Xenopus tropicalis: one gene and its partner. The protein of the gene in region 1 interacts with the protein of each later gene in a pairwise test. Links are inferred from orthologs where the notes say so. Each region holds a gene or a part of one and is shown on either strand. Other genes may lie near its edges.

Region 1 (3,828 bases):
GGTCCATGGTCGGACTGGCCCACTGGAACACCAGAAGAAATGCTGGTGGGCCCCAGTCCTTTTAGGCCCTGCTTGTCTGGCACAAAGCTTTTCATGTATATGTAATTTAAGAGTGAGGCAATAGTGCAGCCAAATAGACTGGTATTAAATCAAGCGAGAATGCCTGCATCTCTGCTCTTTAATTCCCATCTGTTGATTACCACATAATATTGAGATTAAAGCTTATTTACACAAGTAAGCATTTATACCCATGGGTCATTTTTATAGATTCTGTAATTTGGCCCAATATCTTTAACATATCACCATGATTCCATTTTATTAGCTTTGATCATCCTAAATATTTCATTAGGGGGCCTGGTTAATGTATGTGAAATTAGCTTAAAGGGGTGGCCCACCTTCACACATCTTATTGTTTTTAAATAATACACCACAAATAAAGACTTTTTTCAGCTGCTTTTTATTTTTACCATAAGTTTAAAAACAAATGTGTTTATTATTTCCTACCTATCATATTTACTTTTGCCTGGTGATTGACTCTCTTGATTCTTATAAAATCAGTTGTTGACATTGTTTAGGGGATGTTCACCTTTTGTAAAGTCTTACAAAAGTGTTAGGACTTTTCAAATGAAGAACTTTTTTTACTTTTACTAAGCAGAAGTCAGTAGGCTTTGTTTGAATAGTAATCAGACAGCTCTTACCTAGCCTCCAGGTGAAGTGCTTATGAGCTATAAATTTCCTGTTTGAACAGCATCTGTGTTCTTCAGTACTGCGCACCATGCCATGATGTAGGGTCTGCGCACATGAAAAATTTCATCAAGAGTCTTACTCGCTGCCAGTCTCTGCATTTATGGTGGAGGGAGGGGTTGGTGACTCCCTTCTACAGTGGAGTGAGTAAGGGTAAGTGCTGCCTTTGTTTATTATTTAGAAGATAGATTTCTGCTTAATAAAAGTGCTTCTTTTGCAAAGACTACTAAAAAAAACCTCTGTATAATCCAACCCAACCCATTCCTCAGCTCAAGTGTTTGCTGCTCTTTAATTTAAAGTGGACCTGTCACCCAGACATGAAAAGCTGTATAATAAAAGCCCTTTTCAAATTAAACATGAAACCCCAAATCATTTTTTTATTACCACATCCATACCCATTATAAAAGCATTTAAAAATCCCAGCTGTCAATCATATATTGCCTGCCCCGCCTCTATGCCTTAGGCATAGAGGCGGGGCAGACAGTTACTTTCACTTTGAATTCAGGACTTCTTAGATGTTGCTGCTCTCCTCACATTCCCCCTCCCTCCTAACCATGTAATTTTGTAACCAGTGCATGGATATGGGCATCGGGTCCCCCCATACTGGCACAGAAGCAAGATTTTGGCAGGATGCAATGCCTGCTTTGATAACAAAACACCACAAAATGGTGCCTGCCTGCTTGCTGCAATTGTAAATTCCAATGCTGAAGGTTTGAATAATTTATATAGTGTAAGTAAAGTTTATTTTGCTTGACAAACACAATAGAAAACAATTTAGAATTATTTCTTAAGGTGACAGGTCCACTTTAACAACTGGTGATTTGTTTTTTTTGCGCTCAGAATACAGGAATTTTTGAACTTTTATTTCCAGTTTTAGATTTTGTTTAGTGCAAACCATTTAATAATTAAAACAGCAAAATATATTTTCAGCACAAGTCCTGTTAAACAAGGGGTATGCTCCCCCCTCCTGTGCACTAAGCCCCCACTGTGGGCTTAGTGCACAGGTTTTTAAGGTTTCAGTCCATTTGTTATAATTAAATTATTGGGTTTTATTTTGTCCCTATTTATTAATGGCATTATTAGAATTGATTAGGATTTCTCTCTTTGCAAGTGTTTTCTAAACATATACTTGTGAGTACCATTTGGGGAACTTGCATTTTTATAATATGGTTGGCTGTACATTGTAGAAGTAAACTTTGTTTTTGTTAGAAATAGGTTTTTACCCTAACATTATTTTCTCCTCAGCAAACAACAGATGGGAAGCCAAAGATTATAGACATTATTGACACAACGGGAAGTGGTGATGTGAATACCAGCACTGTTCTTGAGCCAAAAGATGGAGTACTTGTAGGCCTTTCTGGAAGAACGTTAAAGGTATATACAATTCTGTATTTCTTTTTAAAAACATAATTTCGAAGTAAGTATTGTTGAAACACTTGAAAATACATTAATTCTGAGTGCAATTTTATTAGCTGGATTTTTAAATTCTGGATTTTTTTTCCGAATTCAACCTGATGATTATGTCCTTTTATTATTTAAACAATAAAGTTCAATAAATAAGGCAAATGATGACAATAAATTGTCTGCATAGTACCTAATTCAGACAGCTTTCATTTTATAATTTAGCTTGGTGTTTTCATGTTTGGTGTTTTAATTTTATATTTTTGTAGATTCCCACAAGATGGATAAATCCTTCTGGCAAATATCACATTGGTATGAAAAATGGTTTTGACTTTTACCCTAAGGCACTGAAGGAGCGCTTGCAGGTAATGTCAGAGAACTTGCTTTCCTCTATGTTGGCTTATCAAAACTATTAGAAATAAGGTTATAAATTCTGCAGTATATCTATTTTCAGACTAATATCTTCTATAATGGAAAATTTTTAGTAGTCGGTATCAAATATAAATTCTTTAAAGGAGACATATTGGATAAATGGGGAAAAACACTAATTGTTTAGGCAATTATGAATAATATATGGTGCTGGTTTCACTTTGTGCTAAAAATGAATCCTATCTGTAAAAATGGCTGATTTATTGGAGTTCCCTATAGATTCTATGACTTCTCTGTCCATTAGAATGAAGGGGGGGAGTGTCCTAACGGTCCCTACCAGAAGCACAGTAGGAGGGGGAGAGCCAATCACAGCCCTGCACTCACACAACCAAAGACAAGCTTAAGTTCCCTATCAGTTCAGCCTAGCTGCTGATTGGTTCCTATGCTACAGTGCAGTGTACTAAGAGCCGCCGTCTCCCATGCACATCCAGAGAATTCAGCCAGCAGGAAGTGGAACAGATGGGCGGGACTAGTGGGGTTTTGGTGGAATTTCTCAATAAATCAGTCCAAAACTCAATTTTTTGTGGGCAGAATGCAAGTTGGAATTTGCAAATCCTTCAGAACAGAGAGGAGAGAGTGTTATAGCAGAGGTGATACTGGTCTGTATCTTAAAAACTAAACATTTTAAATAATAAGAATGAATTACAAAATTGTTTTTTTCTGATTAATTACAACACTGTAGATTGCACTGTGTTAATCTTAGATTTGTATTCATCTACAGAAAGAGCGTAAAGAGAAGCTTTGGGATCCTATCCATCGAGCTGTACTATCTGAAGCCTGCAAGAAACAGGAAGAGTTTGACACAAACTCCAATGCTCAAGCTCAGGTTGAAACAGAACTAACAATTTCAAATTATTATTTTAAGGCAAAAAAATCTTGTCTGTACTTATCTTTTTAAAGGAGTGGTTCACCTTAAATGAACTTTTAATAGGATGTAGAAATTTATATTCCGGGACAATTTGCAATAGGTCTTTCTTTGTTGGTTTTCAGTTATTTAGCTTTTTGTTCAGCAGCTCTCCTGTTTAGAATTTTAGCAGCAATCTGGTTGCTATGGTGTTCTATACCCTAGCAACAAAGCAGTGGTATAAAATAGATATAAATCTAAATAGTAGAGGGCCTGCATAGAAAGTTAAGTAATTAAAAGTAGCAGTAATAATAAAGTTGTAGCCTCACAGAGCAATAGTTTTTGGCTGCCGGGGTCACTGACCTCCATTTAAAAGCTGCAAAGAGTCAGAAGAAGAAGGCAAATAATTC
Region 2 (3,828 bases), on another chromosome or scaffold:
TGTTCTGCTCTATTCCGTCATTATTATGTTTGTATTATTTCTCAGTATAACAGAATAAGCAAAACACAGTGTTCCCTTTATACAAACATATCTTGATGAGATTCCATTCACTGTGCTGCCTTATTATTGAGCAGAGTTAAGGTGGCCATACACAGGCTGATTCTAGCTGCCAATATCAGTCCCTTAGACAGATTCAGCAGCTTATCGACCCGTGTATGGTCATTAACGACGGGCAGGTTTGATATTTAGTCGGATCGGGGACCGATGCAGTCCCCAAATCGACAAGCGCCTATACCCGTCATTTTAGTTCGATTGTTTGGCCCCAGGGCCAAACGACCGAATTAGCCCGATATTGCTAAGAAGATCCGCTCGCTTGGCCACCTTTAAACAGGATCCCCTCTGAAACCAAATAATGTCAGTAGGCATATGCTAGGGACATACAGCTGACATACCATGTATCCTTGTTGCAGATTCTGATAATATTACTAATCATTGTCTTTGCCCTTCAGGAAAGCGGCATCTGTTATTGCCAAATATCCCTCTAAGATCAAGAGTGGGACAGAGGCCAAAAAGCTGGTGAGTAAGGGTGTTTTTACTTTCTGTGCATTTGATGCAGGATTAAAGGGGACATGCTCTATTTACAATAGATGGGCGCAAAGCTATAAACGTAGTTTTACATGCCAAGGATTGCATGAACAAGGTTATGCGGTCATTGCTCTGTTGAGATTATTAAACCTGTCCTATCTATATCTACCCAATTTTCAGCCAGATATCAGTCAGGAGGCCCGTCTGACTGTCCCATACATGGCCAGATAAGATGCCAACTTGGACTGAAGGAGCCAGATTGGCAGCTAAAATCTTCCCATGTATATCCACCTTAGGGCTGTGGCACATGGGGAGATTAGTCGCCACAATTTCCCGAAATTGCTGCGTATGCCGTCCCACTGGCAATTTACATTCTCGCTGGTGCGATGCCATTTCGGGGGATTAATCTCCCGGTGTGCCACAGCCCTTAAGGGCGCTTTGTCATTTGCGGGAAATCCACCTCTCCCACTTACAAGAAATCTCCTTTTCTGATCTTTGTGGCCTGTGGGAGAGAAGATTTCCTGCAGGTGTGCCATGGTAGTGTCTATGTCAATTACATGGATATTGTCACTCTCTATTGATAATGCACACTCTACAGGTTGGGGTTTAGTGGATTGTGACCTTAATAGCAGACTATATCTGTAAGTGAGATAACAGTCTTCTAAACCTCTCCTTGTATCTTTAGGGTGAAGATATATGGGGCAATTAGTCGTCGTGATTTTTAAAAACCCAGACGCCACAGTGGCTTATTCCATATGTGGACATACAAGTCAGTTACACTTTACTGCTGTGCTGCAAGTTGGAGTGTTATCACACCCCCCTCCCAGCAGCCGATCGGCAGAACAATAGGGAGCAAGATAGCAGCTCCCAGTAGGTATCAGAATAGCACTCAATAGTAAGAAATCCAAGTACGGCTTCGGACTCCTCCAGTTACATGGGAGTAGGAGAAACAATAGGTTAGCTGAAAGCAGTTCTAATGTGTAGCGCTGGCTCCTTCTGAAAGCTCAGACTCAGGCACAATGCACTGAGATTGCATTATTTGCCATGTAAACAGTGTAATTTAGAAATAAACAGCTCTCATTGTAAAAAAATCTCCTTAGTTTCATTATCAGGTAAATTACATGTGAAACTTCATTTTTTCTAATCTTGAGAGTTGCTCCAGTGTTCTCCATGACTTGAAGCTTAATGGAGTTAAATTATAACAAATGAATGAGGAACTTATCAGCATGCACACAGGCACTAAATATCTGGTTCTATTGGCAGGACAGTCAACCCTTTCCTGCCAATAAATTGCTGTAGAAGAATATAACCATAATCATGGGATTAATTCTCCTTGCAGTAAGGGAAAGCTGCTCCTGTGTGTCTCTTTATTACAGTTAATGCATTTTATTTAGCGATGCCGTTTGGCCTCCAGATCAAATAGATGTTCAGACTTTTTTAAGCTTCATGCCACCGCTTATTTGCCTGCAGTCATGCTCAGTATCTATACACCCTGAAAGTCAGGTGCCTGCTGGCTACAGTCGCTGTATTGTGCGCTGATGCTTCTGGTGAGATGAGTTCCCTTAAAATTTTATTAAAGGAAAACTATACCCTCAGAATGAATACTTAACCAACAGATAGTTTATATTATATTAAGTGACCTAAAGAGTCTTGCCAAACTGGAATATATCAGTAAATATTGCCCTTTTACATCCTTTCCCTTGATCTACCATTTAGTTATGGGCTGGGTGCTCCCTCAGAGATCGGCTGACAGGAAATAATGCAGCTCTAACTGTAACAGGAAGTAGTGTGGGAGCAAAAGGCAGAACTCTGTCCATTCATTGGCTGATGGGACCTAGCATGTATGTGTGCCTTGGCTTGTTTGTGTGCACTGTGAATCCTATGATCCCAGGAGGCCCTTAATTCTTAAAATGGCAATTTACTATTTAGGATTACCCAATGGCACATACTACTAAAGTATATTTTTATGAAAATGGTTTATTTAGATGAAGCAGGGTTTTACATATGAGCTGTTTATGCAATATCTTTTTATAGAGACCTACATTGTTTGGGGGGATAGTTCCATTGCACTCATGCATTTTCTTTCTCTTCTTTTCTAGGATGGGGTTGGAGCCAAAATTGCTGAGAAAATAGATGAGTTTCTAGCCACTGGAAAACTGCGCAAATTAGAAAAGGTAAAATATTTGTCCATTTATATGTTACTTTATTACTTATGTTCCAAATAAAAGTAATACAGTCTGTACAAATGTGCTGGAACAGAGCTGTAGTAATGATGTAAAAGTGAGGGAACACCATATTGTTGAAATCCGAATGGCAGCGATAGCTATAACTACAGGATGGTCTTACACAGATATTACCCTGATTCTGGGTAGCAGAATCCATGATATATCAGATCTAGGACCAGTCTACCACTGACTGTGTGCTTGTTATGAGTGATGAGTATTGCAGCTAAGTAGCCCTGCCCTGAGAATTAGCTACACAAATAAGGGAAATGTAACCGAATTGCATATTCATGGGAGCAGCCAGGTTTCATCACTCAGCTTAAATATTTTCCATAGACATTTAATTGTCATAAACATATATTGCCGTTCCTGTGGTTTTCCATGGAGATGTTCCAGGTTCCGCTGTTATCATTTTAATTGAATATCAATTGCAAGCACCTTCTCCATACATCTTTGTTTCTTCTTCAGGAAGCATACATACATATATATGTGTGTTGTATTTTTTCTTCTGTAGATCCGGCAAGATGACACCAGCTCCTCCATTAATTTTCTTACAAGGGTCACTGGAATAGGGTGAGTACCATTTTTTAGTACTGTTATTCTCAGCAACAGCACAGCGAGTAGGTATAACAGGAGTATAACTAGTTTGGCTCCCTAAAGGGTAGGGGGAAATGTACACAAGTCTGCTGAACGTGGAAAGGCTGTATATGATGACTTAGGCTTGGGGTGTATATTCTTCTAATTCTATGTTTGTATTGTGTAACAGACCGGCAGCTGCTAGGAAGTTGGTGGACGAAGGAATTAAGACATTAGATGGTACGTACCAAATGCTAATGAGTTTCATTTTACTTAAGTGTTAATGGTCATGGCTTTGTAGACTTTATCTTAAGGCCAGATGTATTAATATCCATAGAATACAAGGAGGCCAGTCTTGAAATGATGCCTTGACTGTGTTTCTGCTGAGACCAGTCCATCTGGCTTTAGCCATAAGGAGGGGGGCAGTGCAGGTCTCCTTTAAAGA

What was found.
Region 2: the proteins of tpp2 (region 1) and polb interact in binary tests that used the Homo sapiens proteins (3 or more experiments, as listed by UniProt). The two-hybrid records come from large-scale screens. The link is inferred for Xenopus tropicalis from reciprocal best matches to the Homo sapiens genes TPP2 and POLB.

The regions. Positions count from the first base shown.
Region 1 is NC_030678.2:119,708,707-119,712,534, reverse strand, and holds part of tpp2 (tripeptidyl-peptidase 2), read left to right. Parts: intron 1-1,989; coding exon 1,990-2,118; intron 2,119-2,414; coding exon 2,415-2,510; intron 2,511-3,295; coding exon 3,296-3,400; intron 3,401-3,828. UniProt on the Homo sapiens protein: Cytosolic tripeptidyl-peptidase that releases N-terminal tripeptides from polypeptides and is a component of the proteolytic cascade acting downstream of the 26S proteasome in the ubiquitin-proteasome pathway.
Region 2 is NC_030679.2:130,628,897-130,632,724, reverse strand, and holds part of polb (DNA polymerase beta), read left to right. Parts: intron 1-509; coding exon 510-576; intron 577-2,684; coding exon 2,685-2,759; intron 2,760-3,321; coding exon 3,322-3,380; intron 3,381-3,573; coding exon 3,574-3,623; intron 3,624-3,828.